4 linked regions of the Tamandua tetradactyla genome follow. The protein of the gene in region 2 purifies or fractionates together with the protein of the main gene of each other region. This does not show direct contact. Links are inferred from orthologs where the notes say so. Each region holds a gene or a part of one and is shown on either strand. Other genes may lie near its edges. The genes, in order: SUDS3, ARID4B, SAP30 and SAP130.

The links.
Region 1: the proteins of ARID4B (region 2) and SUDS3 purify together in Homo sapiens (affinity purification with western blotting; 3 studies listed by BioGRID, with this or other methods). This does not show direct contact. The link is inferred for Tamandua tetradactyla from reciprocal best matches to the Homo sapiens genes ARID4B and SUDS3.
Region 3: the proteins of ARID4B (region 2) and SAP30 purify together in Homo sapiens (affinity purification with mass spectrometry; 5 studies listed by BioGRID and IntAct, with this or other methods). This does not show direct contact. The link is inferred for Tamandua tetradactyla from reciprocal best matches to the Homo sapiens genes ARID4B and SAP30.
Region 4: the proteins of ARID4B (region 2) and SAP130 fractionate together in Homo sapiens (co-fractionation; 4 studies listed by BioGRID, with this or other methods). This does not show direct contact. The link is inferred for Tamandua tetradactyla from reciprocal best matches to the Homo sapiens genes ARID4B and SAP130.

Annotation. Positions count from the first base shown.
Region 1 is NC_135331.1:18,679,344-18,687,357, forward strand, and holds the start of SUDS3 (sin3 histone deacetylase corepressor complex component SDS3), read left to right. Parts: upstream 1-5,002; 5' UTR 5,003-5,189; coding exon 5,190-5,331; intron 5,332-7,309; coding exon 7,310-7,379; intron 7,380-8,014.
Region 2 is NC_135333.1:5,592,669-5,599,533, forward strand, and holds the start of ARID4B (AT-rich interactive domain-containing protein 4B), read right to left. Parts: upstream 3,016-6,865; 5' UTR 2,840-3,015; exon of another isoform or gene 2,781-2,839; intron 2,729-2,780; exon of another isoform or gene 2,306-2,728; intron 1,425-2,305; 5' UTR 1,376-1,424; coding exon of another isoform or gene 1,370-1,375; 5' UTR 1-1,369. UniProt on the Homo sapiens protein: Acts as a transcriptional repressor. May function in the assembly and/or enzymatic activity of the Sin3A corepressor complex or in mediating interactions between the complex and other regulatory complexes.
Region 3 is NC_135352.1:39,728,264-39,735,968, forward strand, and holds the start of SAP30 (histone deacetylase complex subunit SAP30), read right to left. Parts: upstream 3,017-7,705; 5' UTR 2,709-3,016; coding exon 2,403-2,708; intron 1,248-2,402; coding exon 1,122-1,247; intron 763-1,121; coding exon 664-762; intron 1-663. UniProt on the Homo sapiens protein: Involved in the functional recruitment of the Sin3-histone deacetylase complex (HDAC) to a specific subset of N-CoR corepressor complexes. Capable of transcription repression by N-CoR.
Region 4 is NC_135329.1:84,675,053-84,682,740, reverse strand, and holds the start of SAP130 (histone deacetylase complex subunit SAP130), read right to left. Parts: upstream 3,018-7,688; 5' UTR 2,959-3,017; coding exon 2,938-2,958; intron 2,143-2,937; coding exon 2,025-2,142; intron 1-2,024. UniProt on the Homo sapiens protein: Acts as a transcriptional repressor. May function in the assembly and/or enzymatic activity of the mSin3A corepressor complex or in mediating interactions between the complex and other regulatory complexes.

The sequences.
Region 1 (8,014 bases), on a different chromosome or scaffold from region 2:
CATCAGTCAAAGGAGGAGGCTGTCCCCTGGAGTCTCACCCTCTATTGCTTCCCACAATTTGTTTCAACATTTTAATAGACAGACACACACCCGCCTTCCACCAGGACACACAGTGTCAGGTTTAAATAGGCTTATCTCTCTCCATAGCTTGTCCTGGAATTATGCCTAAAGCTCAGTTCTGGTAGCTTTTAGGATAAGAAAACTTATTGGAAAGTGCTGTTATTTTAGTTTCCCCAATGCCTCTTTAAAAAATTTAGTTCGATCTTTCAACTATCTTCCACACATCAAAGTTAAGCAATCAAAATTCCCTATTTATAGTTTACTGTTTCTTTAAACTTGCATCTTAAACATTGATACTGAGGTGCTGCCAAATCAGAACAAATTTCTTAGCTTCTTATTCAGCTAAAATGAAAAAAAAAAAAAAAAAAAACAGGTCAGGAAAATATCTGCCTCTCTCAAAAGAAATATTAGAATTAATCCAAAACATGGGTTTCCAAAAGGATCCCTTTCCCCTTCAACTTTTTGTGGTAGGTTACAGAAGCTCCCTCCAACTTTTCACATTCAGATTAAGCTATCAAGGTCAGGTAGCCCCTCACTTTCCAGGCATCCATCCACACCAAGGGAGATTAGTGAGAAAAGGTCAGGGGTGCCTCTGTCTTGACCTTTGCAAGATGTTGGTGTTTCTACCAGACCCTCCGGCCGGTGCGTTCTACTTAGGAGATGTTTCATTACATAATCCCTATTCCAGAGTCACCCCGACTCAAGCTATCCCAGTCGCGCACACGACGCTCAGAAAGGTCCCGTCCCGTGGATTTCAGACCCTGGGAGCATCACCGTCTCCACGACTCTGCCCCAGCTGTCGGCCCCAACTCGCAGTCACAGCGACCCGGACCCAGGACCCCAACCGCAGCGGTGGGCTTGGGGGTGGTTTGAACAACTCCGTGGGCGCGATCCTTCTCAGGCTCCCTCGCGACTCAGACGCAAGGCTGGCAGAGCGCGGGATCCCGCCGACCTGGAACCAGCGTCCCTCTCAGGGTTCCTTGCCTCAACTCGCACTCGCGAGGTCCCCTCCCCTCGGACACTCTCGGGATCCCTTCTCTTTAGACCCTCTGTCTCCCTTTTTCGGGGTCCCCTCCCCGCAGACCCTCCGTCCTGGCCCCACTCGGGGTCTTCTCCCCGCGGACCCTCTGTCCTGGCCCCTCTCGGGGTCCCCTTCCCGCAACCCTCTGACCTGGCGCCACTCGGGCTCCCCTCTTTTCAGTTCCTCTGTCCCGGCCCCTCTCGGGGTCTCCTCTCTTCAGTCCGAACTGTCAAATCCGCTCCCGAACCTCCCCTCGCCCGGTCGTCGCCGACCTCACTCCGCGCAGGGTCCCCTCGCCTCGGCTCACGCTGTCACCGCCCCGCGCCCGGTGCTCTCACCTCAGACCTGCTGTCACCGCCCCCGGGCCCGGCGTCGCCGCCGCCGCTTCCTCTCTCACACTTGTTCCCGAGTCGCTCTTCTACGGGTTGTCCCCTGGAAGACTCCCGAGTCCGCTGCTGAGTGCCGAGTCCAGCCGCCCAGAACCTCCGCCCGCGGTCCCTGCGTTGCGTCCCACTCTCGAACGCGGGACCCCGCCGCCTCCGGGCACCCCACGGACCCTCCCGCGACCGCCGCTGCTGCTGTCCGAGGTGCGGCTCCTGCCAGGGGTGGCCAATCGCACCCGACTGCGCCGAGCGCGCTCCGCCCCACCCTCACCGACCGACCGCCCCCACCCCTAGACCACGCCCCCACCCGGCTCCGATAGGCTCTCTACTGACCTTCCCTGATCGAGGGGCACAGGGCTGAGGCCGTTTATAGGTACTTGATTGGAGATGCCTAGGAAACCGAGCGGTCGATGGCGCCTTAGGATTGGCGGAATTCACTATGCGGGTGGGGCTGGGCGAGGTTTCCTCAGACGCGGAAGACCTTGCAACTTCAGTTATCCACGGGCCCTCCAGGGGTGCGGTCATCCCTGTTTGCGCCAACCCGTGGGTCAAAGTTCATGGCACTTCTCCCTGCGCCTTAACCTTTTCTGGGAAACGCCTAGAGGCCAAGGCACTCTGGGACCCTGGAAGGATATAAGAGCCTTTGGGGAGGTCCCCATTCTCCAAGACCTTGCACAGGACTTGTAAATTTCCTGGATTTAAATTCTCCCAGGACTTGTCCATTTCCTGAATTTAAGTCCTTTGTACATCTCTAACAATGCTCTTCTTGGCATTGTGTTCAGCTAACATCAATTTAATATTGCTGGGGAAAATCCCTATATTTATACTAGATACATGCTTTGCAAAACAGCATTCAACCCTGGCGGGGCTCATTTTGATAGGTATAAGAACAAAACTTTATAGAGATACTCAGTTGCTGGATTTTGAACTTCTGGTATCATCATTATGACTGAAAAAACAGGAACTCCTGGGGAAACCGTTAGCTTCAAGCAAGCCTATTCAACATTCACAGAGCCATTCCGTTTTGTTCCGTGTAAACTAATCACCAAATTTTAACAAGCTTTGACCCCAAGTGCAATCTGGGATAAGCAAAGACCTATCTTGATTGAAGCTGAAAGGTAATGTCTTCCAGGGGTGAAAGTACATGTTACTCAGAGTTACTCCTTGTATTTTTGTGAAACTGGGTATGCTGAGGAAATCAATACTAGAAAACTGTTATGTTTATTCCTAACCCCCAAAATAAACTTAAGGACTTTGGCAGTTTGGCATTTTATGAAGAAATTATTTCATTTCAGAAACACATTTTAATCATAAGTGTTGTCAAATGTATACAGGCCTTAGCCCTCAGAACTCTAAGTTTTTTTTAAACTCCTGCTATACAATTTAAGTAGGTGTTCTAAACCGTATACATACTTTTTCCTTACTGTTTTAAAATCATACCCCACTCCAATTACAGTGCTCCTCTTTAAAGTTTAAGTTTGGGAGTTAGAGTATGCAGAGGTTTGAAGGCACAAACATTCTGGAATTGGGGTTTGCAGGACTACATTTAAGTTGGAAGTAATAGGAGCAGAGTGGCTGAGCACTATTTTGGGAAGAGATTTCAAGGTGGTAGAACTTAGTTTTGAGGGAAATTGCTTTTTACACACCTAGAGAAATTGTCCATAACCTTTGTATTAAGTAACTATAAAGAGTGAGTAAGATCAAAGCCACAAGTGAATTTTTTTGTTGTTCTCTAGGTCCCCTTTCAATAAAAGGCATCTTTTACTTAAAAGCTTATTCTAACAATTCTGCATTAGGAAATATGGACAGAAGACAAGAGGATAAGTTTTCACCACTCAAGTGTTCAGTTGTATCTATTCATTAAATGAAAGAAATGCATGACATCAGCGGATGTTATCTGCAATCAGTTAGATGGAAATAGAAATAAAATATAAGCAAGACAAAAACTCAAGTGTCTAGAAAGGAGAACAATTAGTGATAAAATCAGTTTTTTTTTAATGCATTATATCAATGGACTCTAATTTCTAAAATGTTGTTGGTGCTTTTTTTGGTTTATAATTATTGGTACTAATAGGGACTCAAGTTCAATAGATAACTACAAATAATTTGGATGTAATCTAACAAAGCAAAGAAAATAGCTTCAGCCTTTGTACAACAGACAGGAATCTGAAATCCTAGTTTAAATATAGATGGTAGACCTACAGTGCATTCTGAGAATAACTCTTATTTAAAAAGAACTTCAGAAGATCCCTGAGACCAAAAAACCTCTTGGAAAGACATCACAGCATTCCATTCTGTAAATACATGAGTTTCGTTGGGAGGAAAAAATCCCTTAAAAATAGAGCCAAGATTTCAAAACAAGGTAGGAAATAAAGATTTTTTTTCTTTATGAGAATAAAGTTTTGTAATTTTAAGAGACTTTGAGTCCATTCAGAGATAAATCTGATTACAAGGGATCTAAGAATCAGAATCGTAGATTCCACTCTGGCTCGTACATCTGTGTTCAACTTTACTATTTTTTAATTACTTTTTCTATGAAGACACGGATGCAAAATAGAGTGGGAATATTTATATTACTTTGGACAAACCATTGAACATTTCTGGCCCTTTTCCTTATCGTGCTGCCACAATTAAACCGCACTGCTCTTGACAACATGTATACCCAAAACTTGTACCTTAACCAAAACTTAAAACACTGTGCCCCCTTTTACTGAGTAGAAATCACAAATTAATTTATCTAGGTATTTGGGTCTGTATGCAAGGAACTCCACTTGCTCAGATGAGAGTTGGTTACCAAATTACTGAACTGGGAAAAATAATCTTTTAAAAATTAATACTCGAGGAATTATGAGACAGATTTACTGTTGAAGGAAGGCTTGGATCTGGAAGTAGCTGGATGCTACTACTTTTTTTTTAGGCAAGTGACATCTCTTTTCTCATCTGTAAAATCGGGATAACATTTTATTCAGCAAACTTATACCAACAGACTCGGACGGACTGAGAAAAATACCGTTTTGCTGATCCCAGGACCGAGCAACAGAAAATTTATCTTTTAGTTTTTAATAAACTCCAATTAGGGGAGGAGTCAGGGCTCTTTTTCTTTTCTGGATGTTCACTCAAACTCTGGATAGCTACATTTTCTCAACTTATAAAGGGGACGGTTCATATCGTTCATACGGTTCACCTGCTTAAATTAAAGAAAAGACCACCTCACCTGCCTCAAACCCCTCATACCCGCCGCTCTCAGGTCGCTAACTTCTCGCTCTACTTTTGGCTCCAGGCGCCGCCTGGCGGCTGTTTCCGGTGTCGCCCCTAAGCTTCGGGGTCCTGGCCTCAGCTAGACCTGCCCGTAGATTTGCCTAACGCTAGAGCTCATGTCTCCGCCCCTTTCCACCATTCCGTCGACTATTTTTAGACGGCAATGAAGGGACTGAGGTTTAGGCGAACGGAACGTCGCGGAACCTGGCGGCCTTTCCTCTCCCTCAAGGATGGAGGAATCAGGCGGTCCTCGGGCAGCTCGCGACCCGGAAGTCGCCGCCGGCGCGAGGACCCCGTTGCCCAGTGCGGGCGCGTGGGGCGGAGCTCGGCGGAAACAAGGAAGGGGTCGCCGGGGCTCCCGCTCTTCGGGGTGGCGGCTCCGTCGGGCTCTGCCAGGAGGAAGTCAAGTCCCCAGCGTGGGTGGCCTCGATCTCCCGGTGGCACGCTCTGCTGCGGTCGGAGGTGATATGAGTGCCGCGGGGCTGTTGGTTCCGGCCCCGGCCCCGGCTGGAGCGCCGCCGGCGCCTGAGTACTGTCCAGAGGAGGATGAAGAGCTGGAGAGTGCGGAGGACGACGAACGCAGTTTCCGGGGTCGTGACTCGGATGAAGGTGCGTCTTTTTGACCGCTGGCAGCCCTGGGCCGGGGTGGAGCTGCTGGGGAAGGGGTTGGACTGGCTGGGAGTGGGACGGGGCGGGGCGACTTCTAGAGCGTGGGGCCCGTTGGAGGGGCATCTGGGAGAAGCGGGGTCCTGGGAAGTTATCACTAGTCCCTCTGGGGAAGGAGGGAAGCCCTGGCTGTGTACGTTGTACCCTACTGTTATGGGGAGAAGGGACTTAAGGAGATATTCATAGAGCTGGAGGTCCCTTTAAGATTCTGCTCCCTCCCCCACAACCCAACCGTCCGGATTGAGCCTCTGGTCTTCGTTGGATGGAATAGGAAAACCATCCTTTGAGTGCTGTGAATCCCTGTCCTTTTAGTTCTGGAGAAAGTCAGAGCAAAGCTCTGTTTGCCCTCACCCCCGACCCCACCAGAATATGATTAAGTCAGTCCCACTTTGGACAGCACAGTACAAGATTTGGAATGCAGAGTGGTTTAAAGAAGGCTTAGTGGAATCAGCCAGATCTAGGTTTAAATTTGTGTCTGTAACTTAACCCAACTTTGTCATCTTAGAAAACTTCCTTAAGCTTCTGAGCCTCATTTCCCCAACTTTATGGGGTGGAAAGGTAGTACCTTTTTCTTAGGGTAGTTGAGAGAATTAAATGAAAAAATGTGTATGAAGTACTTGGCCCAATTTCCGGTATTCAGTAAGTGTCTTTTTCACCACTGAAGAAACAGGCACAGGAAGAGGTAGAGATTTGCTTAATGGTGCCCAGGTGTGTTTTCATTTCCATTCCCTTTATATTATGTCTTACTGCTTCTCAGAGCATTGCGTTTCAGGCTGGGCTTTACATTTTGGTAAGTGTGAGGAGTACTGTTTTAGAGGAATTGAGGAAGGAGCTGGCTAGAGGGAGAGAAAGGTTAAGAAGCATAGGACACGGGAGAAGAAAGAGGAGATAGAGAGGAACCAATATATGAGTGGAGTATTCCAGTTCATTTTATTGGCTGTCTGGAATAAGGAGCCTGTCTTATTCATTTCAGTCCTCGAAATAATGAGCACTTGATTGGCTGGCACATACAGGAACTCAGTGAAGCTCTGTTAGCTGAAGGAGGGGAGAAGGGTTTGTGGAAAATTGGGTCTGCAACAGCATTTCTCAGAAGGCAACTATATATGCAGACAAAGTTGAGCCAACTAATTGCATTGATAACTTTGAATCTTTGGAGATGATCTACTTTAAAATTCTCGCAAGAAATGCTACTTTGAGGACATGCCACACTGGATTTAATTGGGGCCTGCTGGGTTAAAACTCATCTTTCAACCCTTTGAATATGAATCACTTACATTGTTTTTAATGCCCACGAGGGGGTGCTGTGAAGCCAAAATAGATTTACTTCCTGCAGTAGGGTTCTTGAAATTGTGTAGACACTCCAGCGCTTTGCTTATTTAAGGATAGTGTATAAAGTGTTTTGAAACAGTTTCTGTTTGATCATCTTGCCTCCCTCCTCTTCTCCATTAGTTGTAACTTTGAAAATATTTGTTATTAGAGTTGTATTTCTTGTTTCTTTTTCTCCTGTTTCATCTCCTATCTGATATGAAATTTGCTAAGGGTTCAATTTAGAGTAGTGAGCAGGGCTTGACTACCTGTACTTTCCAGACTTCCACCCATGTCTCCTTTTCCTGAACTGCCAGCTTTTTTGTTTCTGCAGAAGTCACAGCCTTGACCATGAGTGCCTAGTCTGATACCCCTGTTTTCTGGTTGCACTTGAAATAAGGGCAAGCTCTTTGCATTAATCTGGCTGTGTATAATTTGGCAATGCCATTTTCTTTTCTGAAATAACTGTACTTAATGTTTTCCACTGATGGTGTCACACTGGCCAGTTTTGAGAAGAAATTCATTTTACAGAAGTTTATTGCATGCGTTTGCTGTGACGCGATGCCGAGTATATGAATATGATTTTAACTGACTTTTCCTCCCTAATTTTACTCAGACACAGAGGATGCTAGTGAGACTGACCTCGCAAAGCATGATGAAGATGACTATGTAGAAATGAAGGAACAGTGAGTAACACAAGCTCTTTCATGATTGTTTTTATATTATTTTTCTGGAATACAGAATTAGCAGGAAAAATATAGTGGCCTTGTATGTGTGGTTTTGACTATAATGCTTCCAAAGACTGTGTGTATGTGTGCATTTTCTTCTTTTAAATTGGTTGTATTTAATCAGTCTGTATTTAGATGAAACTTGTTCTTTTTTTCTTCCTATATCAAAAATCCATGATGGGTAGACTAGAAAGAACCTAGAGGCAAATGATCACAGGGAAGTAATCCCATAATACAGGAGAGTACCTTTTACTACTTCCTCTTTTATTTAAGATGTGAAAACCAGTGTTTGGAAACTCGCGTCATCCAGCAGCCAGGTTCTAAGATGGTCATGAACTCACTGAGCACTGACTACCTGTTAGGCAAGGTTCTGGATGCTTTGAGAGCTCAGGTAACTGGGACTGGAAACTAGGGACTCCTGACTCCTCCGATGCTCTTTCCACTTGAACACACGTCCACCCAAACCTTTTCATCACCTTCAGACAGAGCCCCAACTGAACGTGCCCAGATAGACTAAAATTCTATTATGTTTTAAAGAACTTGAAAAAAAATAGCTTCCTTATGCTTAAAATTTACTGACTTTTTATTAAAAA
Region 2 (6,865 bases):
CTCTCTATATTATTCAACACAACAGTAAGGAAGACAAAGGGTATTCCTAGAGCTAGAGTTTGTGACTAGAAAAGGATTCATTTCGGAAACATTACTGGTTTTTTGGTTTTGTCTTTTTTTTTTTCATTTAAATAAGAGTAAGATGGAAATTCATAGGTAAGAACTATTTCATATAAGAGTTTACAGCGCCCCAAACTCAAGAAGAAAAGCCTAGAAAAAAATGAACTAAACCCACTCTTGTATAGGAGATAAATGTTTAAGTTGCCACAGCTTTTACTTTCTTCCATAAACACAAGCAAGTATTACAAATTTTAATCCGGATGCAGTACTTTAAAAGCAGTATCGATTTTGAAGAGAAGTGGAATAAAGTTTTTTTAAAATAGTTCAAAGGCACTGACAAAAGTAGATATTTACACTTCAGCATACTATACTATCTGTTCCATTTCTTTATCAGGGAACACACTTTTCAAGCACTTCTGAATTTGTACTGGATGAAAATATAGAATATGCTAGTCTTTAAGTGCCACCAGTTGAATATAGACAATTCACATATCTAAAGCTTTTTACTTCAGAATGCATTAAAAAACTAAACAGCATTCAATTACGTATTTTCTAAATTGAAAAAAGCTGTGTGTTCTTATACCATTAAGCAAATTGGGCCTCTCAGATAACTATCCTGCATTCAGTTGCCATGCTTAAATTTAAGAGAAACCTGGCCATCAGCTTATCACACATCACAATGTAACACAGCAGCTGAAAATTTGCAGACCAAAAGATCAAAATTCAAAAACAAACCATATAACTCTAAATCCCTGGAAATTAAGAGAACTGCTATCTCTAAACTGTGTAAAGATTACCATAATTTTCTTGAAAAAACTTCCAAAGAAGCTCATCTTTGTGTTTAATCAAATAGATTTTCTGCTAAAAATTTACAATACTGTTCACACAATAAGAGATTTTCTTTCATCAATGTAACCGATAGAACCACAACACAGTTCAGCATTTAGAGTCAGATTACTTAATCTGCTCTTTCAGTTTTACCTTTCAAAGCATTTTAATTCATGCAGTTTCCTATTTTTACCGGCAAAATGAAGCGCTCTATATGGTAGGGTGATGCTCAATGAGATATTCGGACTCCAACTCAAAAAGACACAGGCCCCGAGTATCCTATCTGGCAGCAGAGTCCCTGAGCTGTAGATTTCCTACCAGTTGACCCCCATCGTTACCCAGGCAAGAGTTCGGGGACCACGGCACCAAACACACCTTTCTCTTCAAAACTCAGGGAAGCCCCACACAACGACCTCAGTCAAATACCCTACCTTTCTGAATTCTCTAACACCAGAGGTTCGTTTTCTGCAGGCAATCTTACCTTCATGATGACTCCGGGGCCACAAGCCCCCCGATAACACCAGATTCACCTGCACCTGGAGTGGAAACAAAAAAGCACCCAGTCAACCCCACAGGCACCCCCTGTTCACTGGCGGAGGCGGAAAGGAACCAGTGAAACCTCTGAACACCGATTAAAGCGCCGGAGAGGGCGTCAGCCCCCTAACGATTAAACAAGGATTCGGGGACTCCTCTGGCCTCCCTATCCCCGCAAACCCAGCCAACTACACAGCTCGGTAGCTCCCGGTCCCCATTGTCGGGACCCGACGGAGTTTCCCGTCTCCGACAATGACGCCATTTCTGTCAGAGAAGAAACTCACAACAAGCCCGGAGTCCGACACGGAATCGGTCACCCTCCCCACCGCTCTTTCTCGCCCAGCCGAGCTGGTCCTCTCCCGAAGCGCCGCGCAGCACCCCGCGTCCAAGCGGCAGCCCGGCCCAGTCTCCAGGAATCGACCCAGCAGGGGCGCAGGAGAGAGTCAGACCGGCCGGAAGGGCTGCAAGCAGGACCGTCTCCCCCCGCAGAGCCTCTGTCCAAGTCCCGTTTCGAGGCCAGAGACCCTGAGAAGTAGGAGAGAATTTACACTTGGCCCCACGCTGCAGGGACGGGAGAAAACGGAAAGGCCGTGTGGCAGCGAGGACCTTAGGCAGCGCCCCCCAATTCCTGCCTGGGCCCCCCACCGCGGCCAAGGGCCGCTAAACCGCTGAGTCTGCGACCGCTCGGTCAAGGGGCGATTCGGACTCCATTCGGAAACTGCAGTAGGGGAGAAGGTGGGCCTCCCGGGAGGACAAGGCCCCGAATTCGGGCGCCCGGTGGAGAGACCACAACAGCCATCTACCCCCTGCTCCACAGCAAAACGCAGGGACTCCCAAAAAGACTCCCTTAGGGGACTGCAAAAGACCCAGAAAATGTCCCTACCTTCCTCGGAGGCCAGATCTGACCCTGGCACGTCCAGAATCCCCTCCCCTCCTCCCCCAAAACCAGTAGGCCCGGGGGAGAGATGGGGGAAGAAGGACGGCGGGTCCAGCGGTTGCTGAAGCTGAGGCTCCGGCTCCTCCTCCTCCCGCGGCGGCGACTGGTACCTTTGTTTGGCGGCCGCTCAGGCTCCCTCGTTGGGGGGAGGGGGAACGACAAAAATCACTCCCGGACTGGAGGTCCGGGCCCCCAAACGCTCTGCCCTCCAGAGGACGGCAACGATAGACCCTCTGAGGCTCCCTCCGGGCAGAGGCCCAGGCGATGGCCGTGGCGGCGGCAAGCTTCAGCTGAGAGTCTCCCTCCGCTACGGCACCCAAGCTCCTCACTCCGGACTCGACTGACGGGCAAACATCGCTTACCCCCCCAACCCCCCCTTCCCTCCTTTCTCCCCTCCCCTAGATTTTTCCCCCTCCCCTACCTCGTTCCCGGATGGCCTCTTAGACGACCTTGGATTGGTTAGAATTCTTTGGAACCCACCTATATCCTGTTCTTATTGGCCCCTCGGATACAAACACAGACGCCATTTTCCCACTAGTTCTATGGAAACAGAAAGTTATGCCTCAAAGCTTCACGGGGAATGTAGTCCAGTCTAGGAGGCCAATGCGCAAACCGCTTGCCGTTGAGAACTACAAGATCCGCAATGCCCCGCGCCCGCCTAAGGCGGGGGGAGGGGAAAGGGGGCGGGGGCGACAAAGCAGTGGGGGGGAGGCGGCTACGACGCCTGCGCAGTGTGACCGGGATGGCGCATTTTCTTGCACCGAGTAATGCGGTGTTGCTGGCCACCGAGGAGGGCGGAGAATTCTGTGGCGAAGTAGGGGGAGGGATATATGTGGTCACCGGGAGGAGCTTTGGTCTGAACTATAAAGTGGGAAGTTGACGCTCAGTTCTACTGTTACCGGACCGGCAACGGGGAAGTCGTGATATCATCGTTGAACTGTGAGCGGCAGTGGCGGTGGCTGGGGGGACCCGGATGGTGAGGAGGGCGGGGAAGGGTGGGAGGCGGGGAACCGAGAGGAAAGAAAGAAAAGAGAGTGAGGACCCGGATGCTGAACCGGATTGTGTATTAATTTTCCATCCGCGGGTTTGCGAGGGTCGAGGGGGCGGGAGGAGGGTTAAGTGATGAAGTGGGGCGGAAAGGGGCATTTGAGCCTAGGAGGAAGCAGAAACCTCCCGGTCACTTGGGAGTCTGTGCTAGGCAGAGTAAACATTTGAATTTCCTTTATTAAACCTTTGTTGAAAATCTGCCTCAAAGTTATTTAACTACCCTCCCTGTATCTCAGGACAGTTTTCTTCAGACGCATGATCCCCCGGAGTTTGAATGGAAGGATTCACTCAGCGCTTCACATCTACGCTTCACATCACATTTGTATGTCTCTACTAAGCAATTTTGAAACCAGAACCTTCCATTAAAAAAAAAATACTTAGCATGATAGTTTCACTTTTTATGCGCAAAGTTTTCCTCTGATGTACTTCTGTACTGCGTTGGAAGGTACTTCCGCTATTACATTCATTCAACCCTTCACATATTTTTGAGCTCCTACCACGTGGGAAAAACAGTATGGTTCTTCCCCTCAGGAACCAAGTCTAGTGAGACTGAAATTAAACAAAATAGACACACGAATCGGTTAAAATGACAACTGTGGTAGGTGCTACCCTGAAGAGTTACGCGGTGGTAAGGAAAGGCTTTCCCGACAAAGTGAGGATTGACTTCAGGTTAAGGAGGAGTAGGATAGCATGTTGGAAAGCCTTGTGTCAGGATGAAGAATTGAGGTTGGAGAGGTGAGCGGGGAGCCGAATCTTACAGGGCTTGTTGACAAGTTTTATTCTTACTCTAAAAGCAGTGAAATATCGTTGAAGAATTCTCAGTCCGAAGGGTGATAGAACCAGATTTAAATTTCGCAAAGAGCAGTGAGAGTTAAGTGATAAATTACAGGAGTGAATGCAGAGAAGCCAGACAAGGAGGATATTGCGGTAATAATCCATCCACACGGAAAAGAAAATCTGTTGTTTGCATTCCTGTTTATTGACCCACTCTTGGAACAAATTTAAGGCAGTTTTTCCGTTTTGAAAGTGGAGTAGTTTCACACTATCTCATGTAGGCATTCTGTAGGTATTCACCCTGAAATAGTAGAGATCATATAACACATTAATAATGCCTCTTTACTTTGTGTAATATAAAATTTCTAGCTGTGATAAATAACTATTAATTGGCTAAGTTGCTAAGTGGGAATTCTCGTATCTCTCTGAGCAAAATGGATATTTTTTTATTCATAATTAATGTTTAAATTGAGAGATAACATCAGCCAAAGCTCTAAGAATGGAAGCAAAGTTTATCTCACATTTCATTGCAACACTTTGTACCTTTTATTGAACCAGACAAACAAAAGAGCATTCTTGAAACTTGGCTTTGATGATTTTTAAGTGTCACAAAGTTTGTGTCAAAGATACAGACATGATTTTTGCTCTCAACCTAGTTGGGAAGAGATGGCTACTAACTTTTACTAACTTTTAAATAATTAGAGACGTGTGTAAGAGATGCTTTTACTATTCTATCTTCAATTCTGTCCAATAATAATGTTTTACCTAGGCAATTATTCTATTTAAGAAAATTTGCATCTTCTTTTCTTTCTTTAATCTCTAAGAATTAGGTAACCTATATCAGAGTTGCAGTTAGCTGGTAAACAGTACATGTAATAAATTTGGATTATTTCCTGAATTTTTTCCCTTATGACATAGTTTGTACTAACTGCTAGACAAGGTACATTTGCATTCCTGTTTATTGACCCACTCTTTGAACAAATTTAAGGTAGTTTTTCCGTTTTGAAAGTGGAGTAGTTTCACACTATCTCATGTAGGCATTCTGTAGGTATTCACCCTGAAATAGTAGAGATCATATAACACATTAATAATGCCTCTTTACTTTGTGTAATATAAAATCTCTAGCAGTGATAAATAAATGACTACTAATTGGCTAAGTTGCTAAGTGGGAATTCTCATATTTCTCTGAGCAAAAGGGATATTTTTTAATTCATAATTAATGTTTAAATTGAGAGATAACATCAGCCAAAGCTCTAAGAATGGAAGCAAAGGTTATCTCACATTTCCTTGCAACACTTTGTACCTTTTATTGAACCAGACAAACAAAAGAGCATTCTTGAAACTTGGCTTTGATGATTTTTAAGTGTCGCAAAGTTTGTGTCAAAGATACGGACATGATTTTTGCTCTCGACAAAAATGTTTATCTTTGCATTCAGATTGCTGAAAGATTTCCATTGTTGGAGTGCTGTTTTTTATGATTGTTTCACAAGGGTACTCATAGAGTGGATGATAAAAAATACAGTTTTTTCAGTACCAAAAAGTAACCTGAACTTTAACCATTTTCATGCTTTAATGTCCATTTGTAATCTCCCTCCAATAAAGAGTTAAGCCAGTAGAATTTATTTTTTAATTTGTCATTATACAAACATGAATATTTGTTTATTTGGTATTAAAGAGTAAGGATATTTATTCTATAGCTGGGGATTTTAATCTGAGATACATGTAAAGGATTCAGGGCCTATATGATTCCTAAAAAATTATATGTAGCATTTTATGGGTCTGCATGTATCTAGGTGAGGGCATATTCACTTATAAGCTGGGGTTTTTTGTTTAGTTTTTGTTTAAAATTCATAGCTTTTATCAGATTCTCAAAAGCTTTCTCTCACCAATGAGATGCATCATACTACATGGAAGCACCAAAACACTTAGTTGATGATAATCCGTGTGTATTCATTCAACCAACTTGAACACATGCCTACCATCTGCCTAACAGGACATAGAAAATGTAGTTTTATTCTTTTCTTCTGTTTACATGTTACACATCTTACACTCCAGTGGAAAAAGAAGTACATGATAAAATTGATGTGACATAACCCTTTTTCCCTTAAATCAGTAGCTCACAATAAATATTAAATACCTGATTCTCACCACTTAGGGTAGACTCAGCTCTACTGAGTTCTTCATTGTGCTGGTGAAAAAAATATTAGTTTACCAATAATGAGATGTCACTATGTTTACTTCAAGATTTTCAGATTTGCTTAGTGGCATGAGTATGAATCAACAATGTTTATTTACTGTAATATATGTGAAGACTCTCATATTTCATGGATTAAGGTATTAGACAAGTTCTGCTTCCCTAAGTATATTTTATACTTTTAAATTTGATGCTAGTAAGGAGAAACTACTGGAATAGCCTAGTCTATGAGAGTGGATGAAGAGCTCATCGTGTGAGATGACTAGGCTGTGAAAGATGAGTTTTAGTACTAACATTATGAAGTTACTACAGCTAATTTAGAAATTGAAGAACACCCCTGAATCTTACAGTAAATAAAACACCACCACACCCCTTTAGTTGTGTAACTAATATGCTTTCTTAAGAAACTCCATCAGAATCAAGTAAGGTGCAATTAAAAATGAAGGTTCCTTCCTAAGTTTAGTGAATTAGAAAAAAGACCTTTGAGTGGT
Region 3 (7,705 bases), on a different chromosome or scaffold from region 2:
AAATGTATACATCTATAAACATCTTAATATAATGCACAGATTTCTTGGTTCTATTATTTCCCGAGAATGCACACACTCAGTCAACTTTTCAAAACTCATTAAAGGACTAAATCCAATAAAAGTCCTATATCAAGACAAACTGTTAGTAAAACCCTGTATAAAAAAACTTGCATAAAGTAAAAAGGGTTTAATCTTTGCCTCTTCAAGATATAAAGAAAACATGGATGTCTCAACCAAAGCAAACTAACATCAACAAAGACAAATTCTGAAACAGTTAAATCAGCAACTTATGTGCATACTGTATGGGGTTCTTCTATAAACATATGTCACCAGAAACCCCCCAAAACAAATACTGACAAAGACATTAGAGCTTATTAATTTATTTTATTATGCCTTGATCAGGTGCTCAATAAATGTTCACTGAGTGAATGGAACTTTAAAACTAACAAATTTTAGAATGAGGACAGAAAATTAACATTCAGTATTTCTTAAAGCCAGTATTAGAAGAAGCAAAGAAAATCGCACACAGTTCACTGAGTAGTCATTACAAAAAAGTGATGTATTGTTATATCACTATGTTAATTATTATGTTAACTAGTTCATTAGCATATAATTGGTGGGAACAGGCTCACTTAAAGTCTAAATAGTTAAAAATTCATATACCTCAACAAGCTGTGCTTTGTTAAGTCCTGGTCTGGTTGGTAGCTTGAAGTGTCTTTTGTATCTCCTAAGTGTATTTACTTGTAATTGGTATAAATCGACCTAGAAAGAAGTAAGGTATATAAATTAGTTCATTCAAACTACTGAAATATCACTGGTACGTCTAATGTAATTCCATTATCAAAACACCTATAAATGTATTAAACACTTTCGGGGATAAATACATTAAAAACTGGGGCACAAAAAAAATTATAAGACAATAGAGATGCAATAATTGTCAACTGAAATATAACAAGTCACACTGTGTAACTGTATGTTAACTGGCTGTATTTAATTTTGCTTTCATTTTCAGATTTCTCAAATTCTTTAACCACTTTAAAAATGTGCTCAAATCTTTTCTATAAAAGTTTAAGAATGAATTATTTAGGATACACATTTAACATATAAAAATGTTCATCTACCTCTGGGGTATCAATATCTTGAACAGGTGAATCACCTCCATCGTCATCACTCCCTTTTCTCTTTCTTCTGTTTCGAACACTCTGAATTAAGTTTTTATGATAATCGCAAATGTAGAGATGCCTTGCCTGAAACAGAAAAGTTTTACAGGCTGCTTATGATTACGACAAAATGTAGTGTCTATCTATTACTGAAATACATGGGTCACGGTGAACTATTAAAAATAAACACAACAGTCAAAACAGGGCATTGTCAAGAATACAGCCTGTTTCCATTCTTATTCCCGCACTCATCCTATTAAAACATACCAGGTCCGACAAAATTGGTAATCCGGTTAACAGGATGGAGGGGGAAGGGCGGGGGGCGCCCGTGGGGAAAGGAGGGAGGGGAGAGGAGAAAGAGAAAGCCCAACCCTCTGGGTTTTGTCATCAAAACTCAGAGGTTTCTTCTGAGTTTTAAATGAATGTCTTTATCTGTAACACGTTTTGCCAATGGAAACAATCTGAAATTATCCAAGTTCACCTAAAAAATTATCTAACACGACTAAAGAACTGCTTAAACATGTGAGAAGTATCGCAAATTAACTTTTCAAAAACTTTTAATGACATAATCTCGAGAGTTGGAGTAACAAATATGAAACACAGGGATTCATAGGTTGACCCGTTAAAGAAAATGCACTTTAAAATTTATTTCCGACCTAAACGCAAGTTCAAAAACAGGAAGGCCGCGCGCTACGTCCTGACATCACATTCACCGCGGCCAGCCCGAGCTCGGAAGAGGGGCCGCGGCTGCGGCCCGCGCCTGGGAGAGGGGCCGGCGGGAGGGCTGCCCGCGGGCGACCGGCGCAGCGGAGCCGCACGGCCACGCGCCGCCCTAGGGCCGACGCCGCTCCCAGCCCGCGCCCTACAAGGCGGGGCTGGCCCGGGAGAACCCGACCGGGCCCGGGAAGCACCGCCCCGCCCGCGGGGTGCGAGGTCCGGGGCCCAGCGCGCCGGCTCGGACAGCACAAAGGCGCCTCCACCCAGACCCGCGGACGGGCCCCGGGAGTCCCCTCCTCGCCCTCCGAGCGGCTCCCTTTGTTCCGCGTCCCACGACCGGGAGGAAGGGGGAGGAGGCCGCGGAGGGGGCGGGCGTCCGAGTTGCGGCGACCTGGCGGTGCGCGTCTCACCAGGGACCCCAGCACGGGCCCGCACGGCAGCAGGTCCGGGGCGGGTCCTGCCCCCCGTCTTTGCCCGGATCCCGGAGCCCCGCGGAGGCGGCAAGGCCGTCCGGCCGGCACTTACGCTCTTGTCCAGCTCGATCTTCACCTTCTTCTGGGAGATGCTCTTCTGGATCCTCTTGCTGAAGCTGGCGTTGCCCGCCGCCCGGCCGCACCGCTCGCCGTCCTCCCGCAGACAGCACAGCTGCCCGGGGCCCGGCCCGGCCGCGCCCGGGGGACCTGCCGCCGAGACGGCCCCCGCTCCGGACACCTCTGCCCCGGCGCCCGCCCCGGCTCCGCTCCCGGCCGAGGCGGCGGCGGCCACTACGGCGGCCACTGCGGCGGCCGCGTCCCCGCCGCGGCTCATCTCCTCAGGCGTGAAGCCGTTCATGTCCCGCCGGCAGAATCCGCGCTCGCCTGGCCGCTGCGCCTCCGCGACACTGGGGTCGCGGCCGGGTCCCTCAGGCACCTGCCACGCGGCAGCGATGCCGTCCGCACCCCGAGTCCGGTGGCGGCACCGTGCCGACGTGTGCTGCTCCGCGGCAGTGGACGGTGCCCAGGGTCTGGACCCAGAGCCCGAGGGGTGCGCAGTGGCGACGGCGCTCACTGTCACCTAGAGACTCTTGAATAGTTAGACCGCGGCGCCTCCACCTCTCCCCGCCTCTCGTCGGCCCTCGGATCGCGCAAGCGTAGTGTGATAAACACCGTGCCGCCCTTCCCGTCTGCCGCAATGCACCCCGGGAATTGTAGTTCTCTGTGCAGGGTCAGCCTGAGCCCGGAAGGTTGGAAAACTACCTATCCTAGCATGCATCGCGCGGCGAGGGGTCGGTCTAGGAAGCCCACTGACTTTTCCTCTCTTTTCAGTACCGGCCGGGGCTCGCAGGATGGTGTGGCTGGGAATGATGGTGTTTGCTCTTCTGTAGTCTCTAAGAAGTTAAGTTGTGGTTAGCTCCTGGAATTTCGCAGACTTGGTGTATTCAGACCAAGCGGCAACCGACTCTTCAGACAAAGAAAGAAAGGAGGAGAGGAAGTGGGTAGAGTGTGTGAACGAACGCTTTAGGTGCCTCTCTGGTCGCTGTGGAAAAAGAGTTTATGGTGTGACCACGCTTTTGTTGGAAACCCAAACCAAAAGCTCGAGCGGCGTGGAAGTCCCGCAGCTCACACCCCGACTGGATGGCAGCCCCGTCTGTTCGCGCGCTGAAGCGCCCCGTGGAGCGCACCCACCCGACCTTTGACCCTAGCAGGTGTCCTCGCAAACGCCGCAGCCGAGCACCGTTTCCACACCTTTGCCTGTTCCTGCAGGGAACGCGCTCCGTTCCCGGGCGCGCAGTCTCCTCCCGGGGCTGTGGCGAGAGGCGGAGTCCAGTACCTTTTCCCGGGAGGCGTGGAGCTGTCACCTGGGCCAGGCCAGCTGTGCGCTCGAGGCGCGGCACCCGGCTCCGCCAGCGGGGCGAAGTGGAGCCGCGCTTGCTGGGTCGCGCGTGCGACTGCGGTGCGGGAGTGACCGTCTGTGCCTGTGCGCCTGCGGTGCGGAGTGACCGCGTGTGCCTGTGAGCCCGAGTGTGCCTGTGCGCCTACGGTGCGGAGTGACCGCGTGTGCCTGTGTGCCCGAGTGTGCCTGTGCGCCTGCGGTGCGGAGTGACCGCGTGTGCCTGTGCGCGTGTCGCGTGTGCTTCTGCGGGGCGGAGCAGAAGGATGGGGAGCTTCCTAATAGGAAAGCTTTTCCTAATAGGAAAGCTTCAGCTTTGCAATAACTTAAACAGCTCATCGTTTTTAAAAATCAGTACATAAACAGTCTCATTGTTAAACAGTTCTAATGTTCGAATAGAAATACTGTATTTTGGCTAGTAGGTTTTTGGAATGTTCTTGTAAATTTAGTGAGAGACCATTAAAAAATAAAGTGTAAAATGCCATCTGCGCTGAAATTCAAAGCCATCGTTTCCACCTGTGCATCTAGTTCTAGGATCTGGCAAAGGAAAAAACAAAATTAAAATATTAAATAAGTTGAGCAGGTAAAATGTAGATAGATGCATGCGAAGTACGATATGTTGTCTTTTTAAGCTGTACTGTCCGATGGGGTGGCCGCCAGCCCTGTGCGGGTACTGAGCACTTGAAATGTCCTTACTGCGACTGCAATAGTTTTATAATTATTTTTTAACTCGATTCACTTTTGGGAAAAAACTTAAATATGTTTGTGACAACTTGACTATTTGAATCTTTGTTCAACTCAAGTTTTATGAAATCTAAATTTAGCATCGGAATTGAGATGTGCTCTAAGTACAAGTTGCAGATGGTATTTCAAAACTTAGTACCAAAAAAATGTTGAACAGCTTATAAATACCTTTTTTATATTGATTCTATGTTGAAATGATATTTTGGGTTTACTGGGTTAAATGAAATATTAAAATTAATTTTACATGTTTTTTAATGTGGCTGCTAGAAAATTTAAAATTACGTTTGTGGCTCGCATATTTTTATTAGAGAACGCTGTCTTAGAGTAAAAACAATCATGCTGGATGTTATTTATGGATATATTTTCTTAAATGGTAAAAATGAGAACATATGTAGGATGGACACACCCCAACTTCAGGGTGTTGGTCACCTCTTGGGAGGCAGGCCAAGTGAATGGCTTAAAACTGGTTTCTGCTGTATTTGTAAGTTTTTATTTATGAAAAAAAAAATCTGAAGAAAGCATGATAGTGGAATGTTGAATTTTCAAATTTATCTTTGTATTTTTATTTGTTACTGTTTGGTTCTTGCGCCTATCCCTTTCCTTCAAAATTCGACTAAATTAATTCACTTATCTGTGTTTAGTTATGTATCAATTATATAAAACATTCAGTGAAGAATTGTGGCTTTGCCTCCTTTACCCAAAATAAAGTGTTTTAAAAGAGATCCAATTACATGACATTCAGGGGTGAAAGTCTCCCTCACAGCATAGGAGATGACTCTTAAGGATGAGCCTGGCCCTGGCACCTTGGGATCAACAACGCCATCCTGACCAAAAAGGGGAAAAGAAGTGCAGCAAATAAGGTATCAGTGGCTGAGAGACTTCAAATAGTTGAGAGGCTACTCCGGTGGTCACTCTTACACACGCTTCAGTTAGACATTGCTACTTATCATAGCTTGCCAACCCCCAACCAAAACTATTCCTGTCAATCCTAAAGAACCCCTAGAGTGTAATATAAGATTCTACAAAGGTTCTGTGCACTAGGGTAACTTTCCAGAAACCTACAACCTCCAGATGGTCCCTGGACCAGAAAAGTCCTGAAAAGCAGAGGGGCCAGCCTCTCCAGAACATCAACTGGTTTTATCCCCCATCCCATATTACCAACAGCCCCTTCCAACATGAACAAGTTAGAATGGGCATAGCCCAAATACCCCTAAAGAGTGGGAGAAAGATCAAAGGGATGGTGGAGTTACACAGACAAGGTAAGGTTTAACAAATGAGTGTGATTGCTGAATCATTGATATTTCTTTTAATCTCCAGTGTCTCCAGTGTCTTGGAGCAGCTAGTAGTAAAAACCTAAAAATGTGGAATTGTAACCCATACTAAACTCTGAAATCTGTTCAATAACTAATTGTTATGATGTGCTTTGAAATCTATTGCTTATATATATATATATATATATATATATATATATATATATATGTTATTTTTCACACACAAAAAATCGAATGTGATGATAAACGCACAGGTATATGATGATATTGTGAACCATTGTACACGTTGGATGATTACGTGGTATGTGAATATATATCAATAAAAAATAAGTTTTAAAAAAGCAAAAATAAAAAGATCCAATTTAATATTTATTGCATACTATGATCTTTCCTAGGCCCTGGGAATAAAATAATTGAGAGAGGTTCATAGCTATTTTGGAGCTTGCTGGGAGGCAGGCTGCTTAACAAGCACATTTCAAAAAAGCATGCTAAATGCCTCAATAAAACTAGAGAAATATAGATGTAGCACACAGGAGGGAATGATTAATCTCCGGCAAGTAGAAAGGATTCCAGGAGTTGGTGACATTGCCAGATTTAAAGTACATCTTCAGTGAGTCTATTTGTTCAAAGAAATTTACATAACCATAGTTCATTATTTATTTTTACAGATTTCCATATGCAGGACAGGTAAGAACTCCTTGCTTTAAGTGTAATTCACGGTTAAGACTGGAATCAGGTGTTTGAGGGCCTCAAGTTTGTACAATTTGAAAAAGCATGTAAAATTATAAATATAAAATTAGGCCTTTTGAATGGCTTGTCCAAGTGAGGGACTCTGAAGCCTAATCCATTCACCTCATATTAAACTGCCTCATAGTAGCCCATATGGTTTTCTTCAGGAAGTTTCTATTCAGATTTTCTGTCTATTTTATCTATTGGGTGTGCATCTATTTCTGTCAATTTGTATTAGTACTTTATATATCCTTAATGAGCCCTTTGCCAATTTTACATATTTCAAATGTCTTTTCCTACTCTATAGCTTGCTTTTTGACTCTATAGTGACAACTTTCAGTTAAATAAGTCTTTGTTTTAATGTTGAAAAAATTATACCTTTTTATATAGGGCTGATGATTTTTGTGACTTAAATAATTCCTTATTCAAAGTCATGAAGATATTTTCCAACAGTATATTCTAAATGCTTCACTGTTTTGCCATTCCCATTTAGCATTATGATGGATTTTTTGTGTGTTGGTGGAAGATAGAGGTGTAATTTCATTTTTTTATATGTTACTTGTGCTGGTTTGAAACCATTATGTACCCCAGAAAAGCCTTGGTTTTTTTTTACCCTTATGAAACTTATTTCTGTAATGGCAAAGCTGAGCCTACTTATAATTAATGTCTAAGAGTCATCAGCAGAAAATCTCTTGTGTAGCTCAAATGTCCCTCTTCCTCAGCCAAATTCTGACCACTGCCCCTCCCCCCCACCCCAGACGTGAGACATGAATTCCAGGGGTGTAAGTCTCCCTGGCAATGTGGGACATGACACTCAGGGATAAGCCTGGCCCTGGCAACACAGAACATGACTCCCAGGGGATGAGCCTGGCCATGGCATCATGGGATGGGTTCACCAAAAGGAGGTAAAGAAATAAAGTCTCTGTGACTTAAGAGATTTCAAATTGAGTTGTGAGAAGTCATTCTGGAGGTTACTCCTATGGACGTTTCAGCCAGATATTGCAAACTACCACAGTATAGCAAGCTCCAACCAACAATATTCCTGGAAACTTTAAAGGATACCCTGGGCTCTATAAAAGTTTTACTTATTAAGTTCGTTTTTCAGAGACTTAGATACTCTGGATTGTTCCAATACCAGATAAGCTCTGAAACCCAGCAGCACCAGTCTCTCCAAGAACAACAACCAGTTTCACCCCTCTGCTCCATAATGTCAAT
Region 4 (7,688 bases), on a different chromosome or scaffold from region 2:
TCTGTTTAGGATTTCTTTGACTCTATAGCTCCCTTTCGGAAGAACTGATAACTTAAAACTACTGAGTCTTCCAATCCAGGAACAAGAAATATCTTTTCATTTTGTAGGTCTTCTTTAATTCCTCTAAGCGATGTTTAGTTTTCAGACTACAGGTTTTGCACATGCTTTGTTAAATTTATCCTTACGTATTTCACGATTAAAAAAAAATTGTGGTAACATATAAAAAACTTCTCATTTTAACCACTTTCATGGGGAAAATTCAGCAATATTAATTACATTCACAATTTTGTGTTATGATTACATGTCATGCTTTTTTCCTATTATTGAAAATGACATTTAAAAACTTTCACTGTTCACTGCTGGTATTTAGAAATAATTGTATATTGAATTTGTACCTTACTCAGAAAAAAATTTTATACACTTTTTTAGTGTAATTGAAGAAATAAACTTCCATATACATATATACTCTTCAAAAGTAAATTTATGAAGTAAACTTATGACTTTCTTTTCATTTAACCAACAAGGTTTGAGAGAAATTATTGCTAATTAACACTTTCTAAAATGAGCTGTGTAATTCCTTGCAAAGGATAAGTGTTCAAAATATTTTCTTTAGCTATACTATACTTTAAATAACCCTTCAATCAATTTATCCCAAAGATAAAATATTGTCAAAAATATTTCTTAGGGAATAAAAAGAACCTCAAGTCCCTCAACAAGAACTTATGACCACTACCTTGAACACTATTTTGTCATAAGGAGCATGAGACAGACACAACCCCAGCCCTCAAGTAGTCTTCAGTCTCAGAGGAGGTCTAAGACTGAACTGTGGACGATGAAGTTGGCAAAGATGCCATCAACACAGAAAGCGACATCTGAGATGAAACCTGAAGAATAGGAATTAGCCATAGAAGTGTGTGTGAACAGGAAGATGGCAGTGAAAGGAATGAAACGTACAGAGGCCTGAGGTCATGAACACTGGGAACGTTTCATCATTCGTTCATCAAATCAATAGATAATATAAAGCAGGAGGCATAAAGCAGTTTAAAGTATCTGTAAGTCTAACAAGCATGAGAATGAACTGAAAAAAGTAAACTGAAAAAAGGTAAAGGGTTGGAAGAAGGGGAAAGTAGCAGGAAATGAGACTGGGACATGAGAAAGGTGTCACAGCTTGTAGGTAAAAGGCACAGACAAAGCAATTAAAGATGATGTCTGAGCTCTTCAAGCAATGAGTAGATGGCGCCACCTTCTACCATATAAGGAACACAGTTTGCAAAGCCACTTCACTTTGCAATGCCACCTTTTGATTTGATACAAAGCAAGATGAGAAAGAGAACATTTGACAGAGAATCAAGAACAACACTGAAAGGTAAGGAACTTTCCTCTTCTGACTCCCAGGTCACTTCTCCTCTAAGCAGGGCTCTGCAGGCCTCTGTAGCCACAGCACTACTGCGACGTTGGACCAGGTGTTTCTTTGTTATGTAGCGTGACTGTGCACTGCAGGATAAACAGTGGCATCTCTGGCTTCTACCCACTGATGCCAGTAGCATCTTCACTGGGACAACCAAAATGTTTGCAGAGATCGACAAACATTCCCTAGTAGGCAAAATCATCCTCTACTGAAAGGCAAGGATCCACAGCATTTAAGGGGCGCCTAGCCAAAACTTGCATAAAGACTTCTTACCCTCTTTTCCAGGTAGTAAATTCCTAAAAGGCAAGACCTATCCTTTACTTTACATACCTCTGTTCCCCAATGATGCTATCACCATACATCTGAGCCTTGGACAGGAGCACATTAACACATTTAAAAAATATATTCCTGTAGGCAAGCTTTACTATAAGTTGCACAATATACAATGATGCATGTCAATGAAGTGGTTAAAACAAAAAAACAAAAAGACTTGTAAAATATCCTGTTTTCAAATTAAAATTACTTGGTGTTTACTAAAATTCTAGGGAAATTTGCTAATTTTTAAATCAGAAAATGAGCAACACACTCTTATATGGTGTAAAAATTATAATCTTACCTGCAGCAGTTGGATTTATCAATCCTGCAGAACCACTGCTTGAAATCTGTGAAGGAGTTTGGCTCAGCCCAGTGGAAGGGGTTCCCAAACGAGGAAACTGCTGAGAACTCATTTCCACCTGCAGTAAATACAGTCATATGATTATGGCTAGATTCTGAGATTAGAAACAATATTAAATATTATCTTCCCTCAGAAATGCAAATGCAACAAGTTTTCTAAAAAAAAAGAAAATCACTTATGATGGATACACAGGGCAAAAATAACCTAAATTCTGTATCTGCTATGTATTCAGGCTCAATTAATAAAATCATTTCTACAGTGCTGGGGGATACCATGACCCTCTAAATACCTGTGGACTGTAGACTAAAAAAAAAGAACAGGGAATCCTGTACAACAGCCACATTACAGCTACTGACATGATGCACACGTGTCCGTGTAAAGTTTTAGGGGGAATGGAGCCTGTCTGTGATTGGTTTAAACCTGACACCAAGGTGAACAGAACCATACTCAATCTGTCATATAGGAGAATTCAGAACGGAGATGCCGGATCCTAAGAGAGGATCAGAAACCGTATGTCAAGACCTGACCAGAAAAAAATTCTCAAATGCTTTTTTTGTAAAGGCCTTTACAGATTTCCTCTTTTTCTCCTGGTTTCACAGACCCCCCTCCCCCCCAGGAGCCTGAGGGACCCGAGCGCTTCAGTCATTTTCGTGCCCACTTTCCCACAGGAGCCCAGCTCTCCGGATCTCCTCCATTAGTTCGCAGGCGCTTCCCCGCCCCAAAGCCCACGACAGAGAGAGACAGAGGTTTCAGCCGCCGGGGGTCTCAGGGGCTCCGTCTGGGGGGAACAGGACAACCAGCACCCTGGTACCTGCAGCCGTCTCCCGCCACCCGTCCCCATTTCGCCATTCACCGGGGGTCGTGGGGGGCCCATGTCGCTAGAGGCACTGGGCGAGGGGCGAGGATGGGACGCCGGGCAAGCGCGCCGCTGTCCAGCCCCGCCGGCCGCCTAGCCCTCAAGGCTTGGCAGCCTCTGGGCCACCGGCCCGCTCCCCCGCCTCCCCCGCCACTCATTGGCCCAACGCCGGTCACGTCACTCGGGGCCAGCGCCAATCCGCTGCGGCCGTCGCACTTCGGGCCCGCCCCTCCCTCCCGCCGACGACCGACCAATCAGGTACGAGCCTGGCCGGGGCGCCCCCGCCCCTGGTGACCGAGCCAATGGTCGTAGCAGCCGGGCACTCCCGGCGGAGGGGGCGGGGAGCTGGCAGGCCCCGCCTCGGCCCCGGTCTGAAAGCGGCGGGCGCAGGGCCCGGATGTGGAGAGTCACTTTAAACTGCTCCGGGAGCCAAACTACCCCGGCCGCCCGCCCGCGTCCCCGGCCCTCAGCTCCCCGCCCAGGCCCTGGCCCGCCACGCCCCCACGCCCGGCCAGCCCGGCCCTCCCAGTCGCCTCTTCCCTCTCCGCAGCGGGACTCCAGCCCCTGCGGCCGGCACAACCGCCGTGCCCAGGTCGCGAAGGAGCCCGAGTCCCGGCTGGGGGCGCCAAGCCCCGCTGCCCTTCCCCGGGGACGCGCGGCGGGACGGACGCTGCTGCCCGGCGCGGCGCCCCGCCCCCTCGCCACCTCCCCTCCCAGCCCCGGCGCCCGTCCCGCCATGACCTGGGCGCTGCGCCGGGTGGTCGCCGCGCCGCCTCGAGCTCTCCCCCGTGCGCCGTCCGCCTCTGGGGTCGCCGTCCTCGGGCTCCGGACCCGCCACCGCCGCCGCCGGGGCACTAGCACTCTGCCCCCCACCCCTCAGCCCAGCGCCGCTGCTTCCGCCGCCGTAACGAGCCTCCCGCCGATTGGCCGCAGCCGGCCCCGCCCTCCCCCGGGAAGACCAATTGCCGCTCCAAGTGAGCGGGAGAGCAGACGGGCCCGCCTCCCGAGGCCTCGGCGACTTCTGGGAAATGTAGTCCATGGAGCCGGGAGGGCGGGCCGCGAGGGCGATGGGAAACTCCGGGGCGGGGCCTGCTGGTGACCTGGGCTGGAGCTGTGGGCCCTTCAGAGGTCTGGGCACCGTCTACTGTTTTTCTTCACCGACCGGGGACACGGCGGGTCACCCCCATTTCGACACTGTCGGAGGCACTGTGTTCCATTTTCCTGAGACGTTAAGGGGCCGTGGCGCGCGAAAAGGGCAATGGAGGTCGTGGTGTGGCGGGTCAGCGTTCCGCCGTGGTGGCACTTGACTCGTCCCCGAGGCCCTGGCCCGCGAAGCCCAAGCAACGTGGGGGCCCCAGCACCTCAGCGCAGCAGGCAGACTCGGAGAGGGGGCCCTGGCTACGAACCGGGGCGCCGCGTCCTGGTGCTCTTTGTCGCGGCCGTAAAGCCGCGGAAAGGACATGGGTTCATTCTGTTTCTGTTGTCGGGCGCAGATAGGTGCAGTTTATACATTCGTGAAACCTGCAGCCAAAGCTGCTGAGGCAAAATGAGGGTCTGCGTCCCCATCGTTCCTCCCTATGTAGTAATTAGGCCTGGGAGCGCTGTGACGGGTTAAGATATAATTCCGGCTCAGATCCCTTCTTCCTATCATTGCACAGCTGTCTAAGACAGCTGCTTGCTGGGAGGAGAGTAGCTCAGAGTAACAAGAGTGAGTCTCAAATACCAGCCCTCCTCCCTCAAGCTACTTTCTCCCTTCCCTTCATTCCCAGACATCTTCCAAAAGTAACTCGCATTACATATTTTAGCTTCCTCTCTCTACCCCTTGTGGATTCTGGTCCTGCCATCCTTCTCAAACTGCTCCCTAAAAGTGGCCAGTGACGTATTCAATTTCAAATTTGGTGGTCCTTGCTTAGTTCTCATGTTGTTTAGTTAATGACCAGGAATTCCTCCTTAAAATGATCTTCCACTGGCCTCCATAATCACACTCTCTCCTGGTTCTGCTCAAGCTTCATCACACCTTCTCTTGAAATAAATATGGTATTTTCTAAGGCCCCAACTCTTTTTTGATACTTTACTATCTTCATAAATGGGGCAATAAACTCGCACAGTTTCAAATGTCACATTTGTGAGTGATTCCAATGTTTACCTACACGGTGACCTCTCTCTGAGTTGTACCCCGGTATACCCAGGAGCTGTACCAATCCACATCACTGTCTGACAAGCTCCTCAAACTTAACTTATTAAAAGGTTGTATTGATTTGCCTCACCTATCTGCTCTGCTCCCTGGGTTCCTGGGCATTACCACTCTTTCAGTCTTTCGTCAGACTTCTTGTTTCTCACTCTCCCATCTCCCGAAGTTGCTATATTGTATTCATTATGACTTTTCTGCATCCTTTCCAATCACTTCCATAGCCTTGGGCTTCACCATTTCTTGTCTGGATCACAGTAATACAGCCTCCTTTCTAATCTCTTCCTAACCCCTGTCTATCATTGTTTGGGTTTGCTAAAGCTGCCAGAATGCAACATACCAGAAATGAATTGGCTTTTATAAAGGGGATTTATTAAGTTATAAGTTACAATTCTTAGGCTGTGAGAATGTCCAAATTAAGGCACCTAACAAGAGGATACTGTTATAGTTTGCTAGCTGCCAGAATGCAATATACCAGAAACGAAATGGCTTTTAAAAAGAGGAATTTATTAAGTTGCTAGCTTACAGTTCTAAGGCCATGAACATTTCCCAATTAAAGCAAGTCTATAAAAATGTCCAAATTAAGGCACCAACAAGAGGTTACCATCACTTAAGAAAGGCCAAGAAGTTCAGGGTCTCTCTCTCAACTGGAAAGGTACATGGCAAACATGGCGGCATCTGCTAGCTTTCTCTCCAGGCTTCTTGTTTCATGAAACTCCCACTGGGGTGTTTTCCTTCTTCATCTCCAAAGGTCTCTGGCTGCGTGGGCTCTTGTGGTTCTCGTGGCTCTCCCATGGTTCTTATGGTTCTCTAGTGGCTCTGTCTCTTTCTCCAAAATGCTTCCTCTTTTAAACAACTCCAGTAAACTGGGATGGGTGGAGTCACCTCTAATGAAAGGTTAATACCCACAATTGGGTGAGTCACATCTCTGTAGAGATAATTTAATCAAGTTTCCAGCCTACAGTACTGAATAGGGATTAAAGAAAGGCTGCCTCCATAAAATGGGATTAGGATTAAGACACGGCCTTTCTAGGGTACACAAATCCTTTCAAACCAGCACAGAAACCTTCTCAAAATAAAGGCTGATTTTCTCTGTCTGAGGTTTCTCTGTTGCATGGGAAGGCACATGGCAACCTCTGCTGTCCCTTCCAGCTTCTGGTTTCAAACAGCTCTCTCAACGTCTGGCATATCCTGGGGCTTCTGGCATCTTGTGCATCTCCAAACATCTGTGTCTGCTCTCTGTGTCAACTCTTTTAAGGACTCCAGAAAACTAATTAAGACCCACCTTGAATGGGTGGGATCATATCTCCATTTAATCAAAAGGTCCCACCCACAGTTGGGCAGGTCACATGGAAAAACCCAATCAAAAGGCTCCGCTTAATGATAGTCTTCCCCCACAAGATCGTGTTAGAATTTTTAAAAACTTGACTTTTCTGGGGTACATAACAGTTTCAAACCAGCATAGTCCTCCACAGAGGTCTTTTTCTAAAGCCTTTACCTGAGTCTGTCTGTGCCTCCCATGATGTTCCAATAACTTTCAAATACAATCAATACCCTAAGTTCAGTATTCAAAGGCCTTAGTAATTCAACCCTTTATACCTCTTCAAACACTGAATGCTCTTTTCAGCAACAGTTTCCATCAGTTCTCCATACAGTTTGGCTTCCAGAGTTTTGCTCAAGCCTGAAATACTTTCTATAGGTCTCAATCTTCTGCAATCATCTGCTAGCATTCTGTCAATTCTATAATTCCTAACCAAAAAACAAACAAAGAAGATTTATATTCTCCAAGAAACTTTCTTCAAATTCCTACCCACACCCCCCTACTCTCTGAATACCTCTGTGGAATTTCCTCAGGCACTCTATTCCAAGACTAATTGTGCCTACCCTTTATTTCTCCTGGACTAGGATGAGAGAGAAATTACTCATCCTTTCTTCCATCTATGGGACTTTATATACAGGTGGCATTCAGTAGTTTACCTAGTATAATCACAAATACATCCATAGCACATGAATGAAATCTGAGTGGTCCTTAGTTACCAGGGACAGTCTCTGCTGCCATATTCATTCCTATCTCCAGTCCCTTATATAAGGGACACTTGAAGGAAGGTAGGTGCTTTGCTCAAGGTTATGTTGCTGAACTTAGAACTCCCATCTACTGAGCTTAGTATACTAATTGAGGCTGAAAACATTCTTCTTACTCAAGAGTTAAAGCCACCTGCCAAAGTTTTAGGAGCTTACTATTCTCTTGCATTCCTAAAAATGATGTCTACACAAGATAATATGGAAGGTTGAGCCAAAAAAATTTAGACACCTCACCTGCTAAGTTGTTTTCTAGAGAAGGACTGTCTGCCAACAAGAAGGACAAATTCTCAATGCAGGTGACTTGTGGTAGTCAATCAGATGTCAGTGTGTGGTCTGCTGGTGTTAATAAAAGTTTCATGGGCTTCTCTCCTGCTTAACCCAGCTGGTTCTCACTCTGGCAGGACCTGGCATGCTAACATCTGGATCCTTGTGCATTCTCTAGTTTCATATGCTCCCCTTGGTCCAAATACCCAGCCAG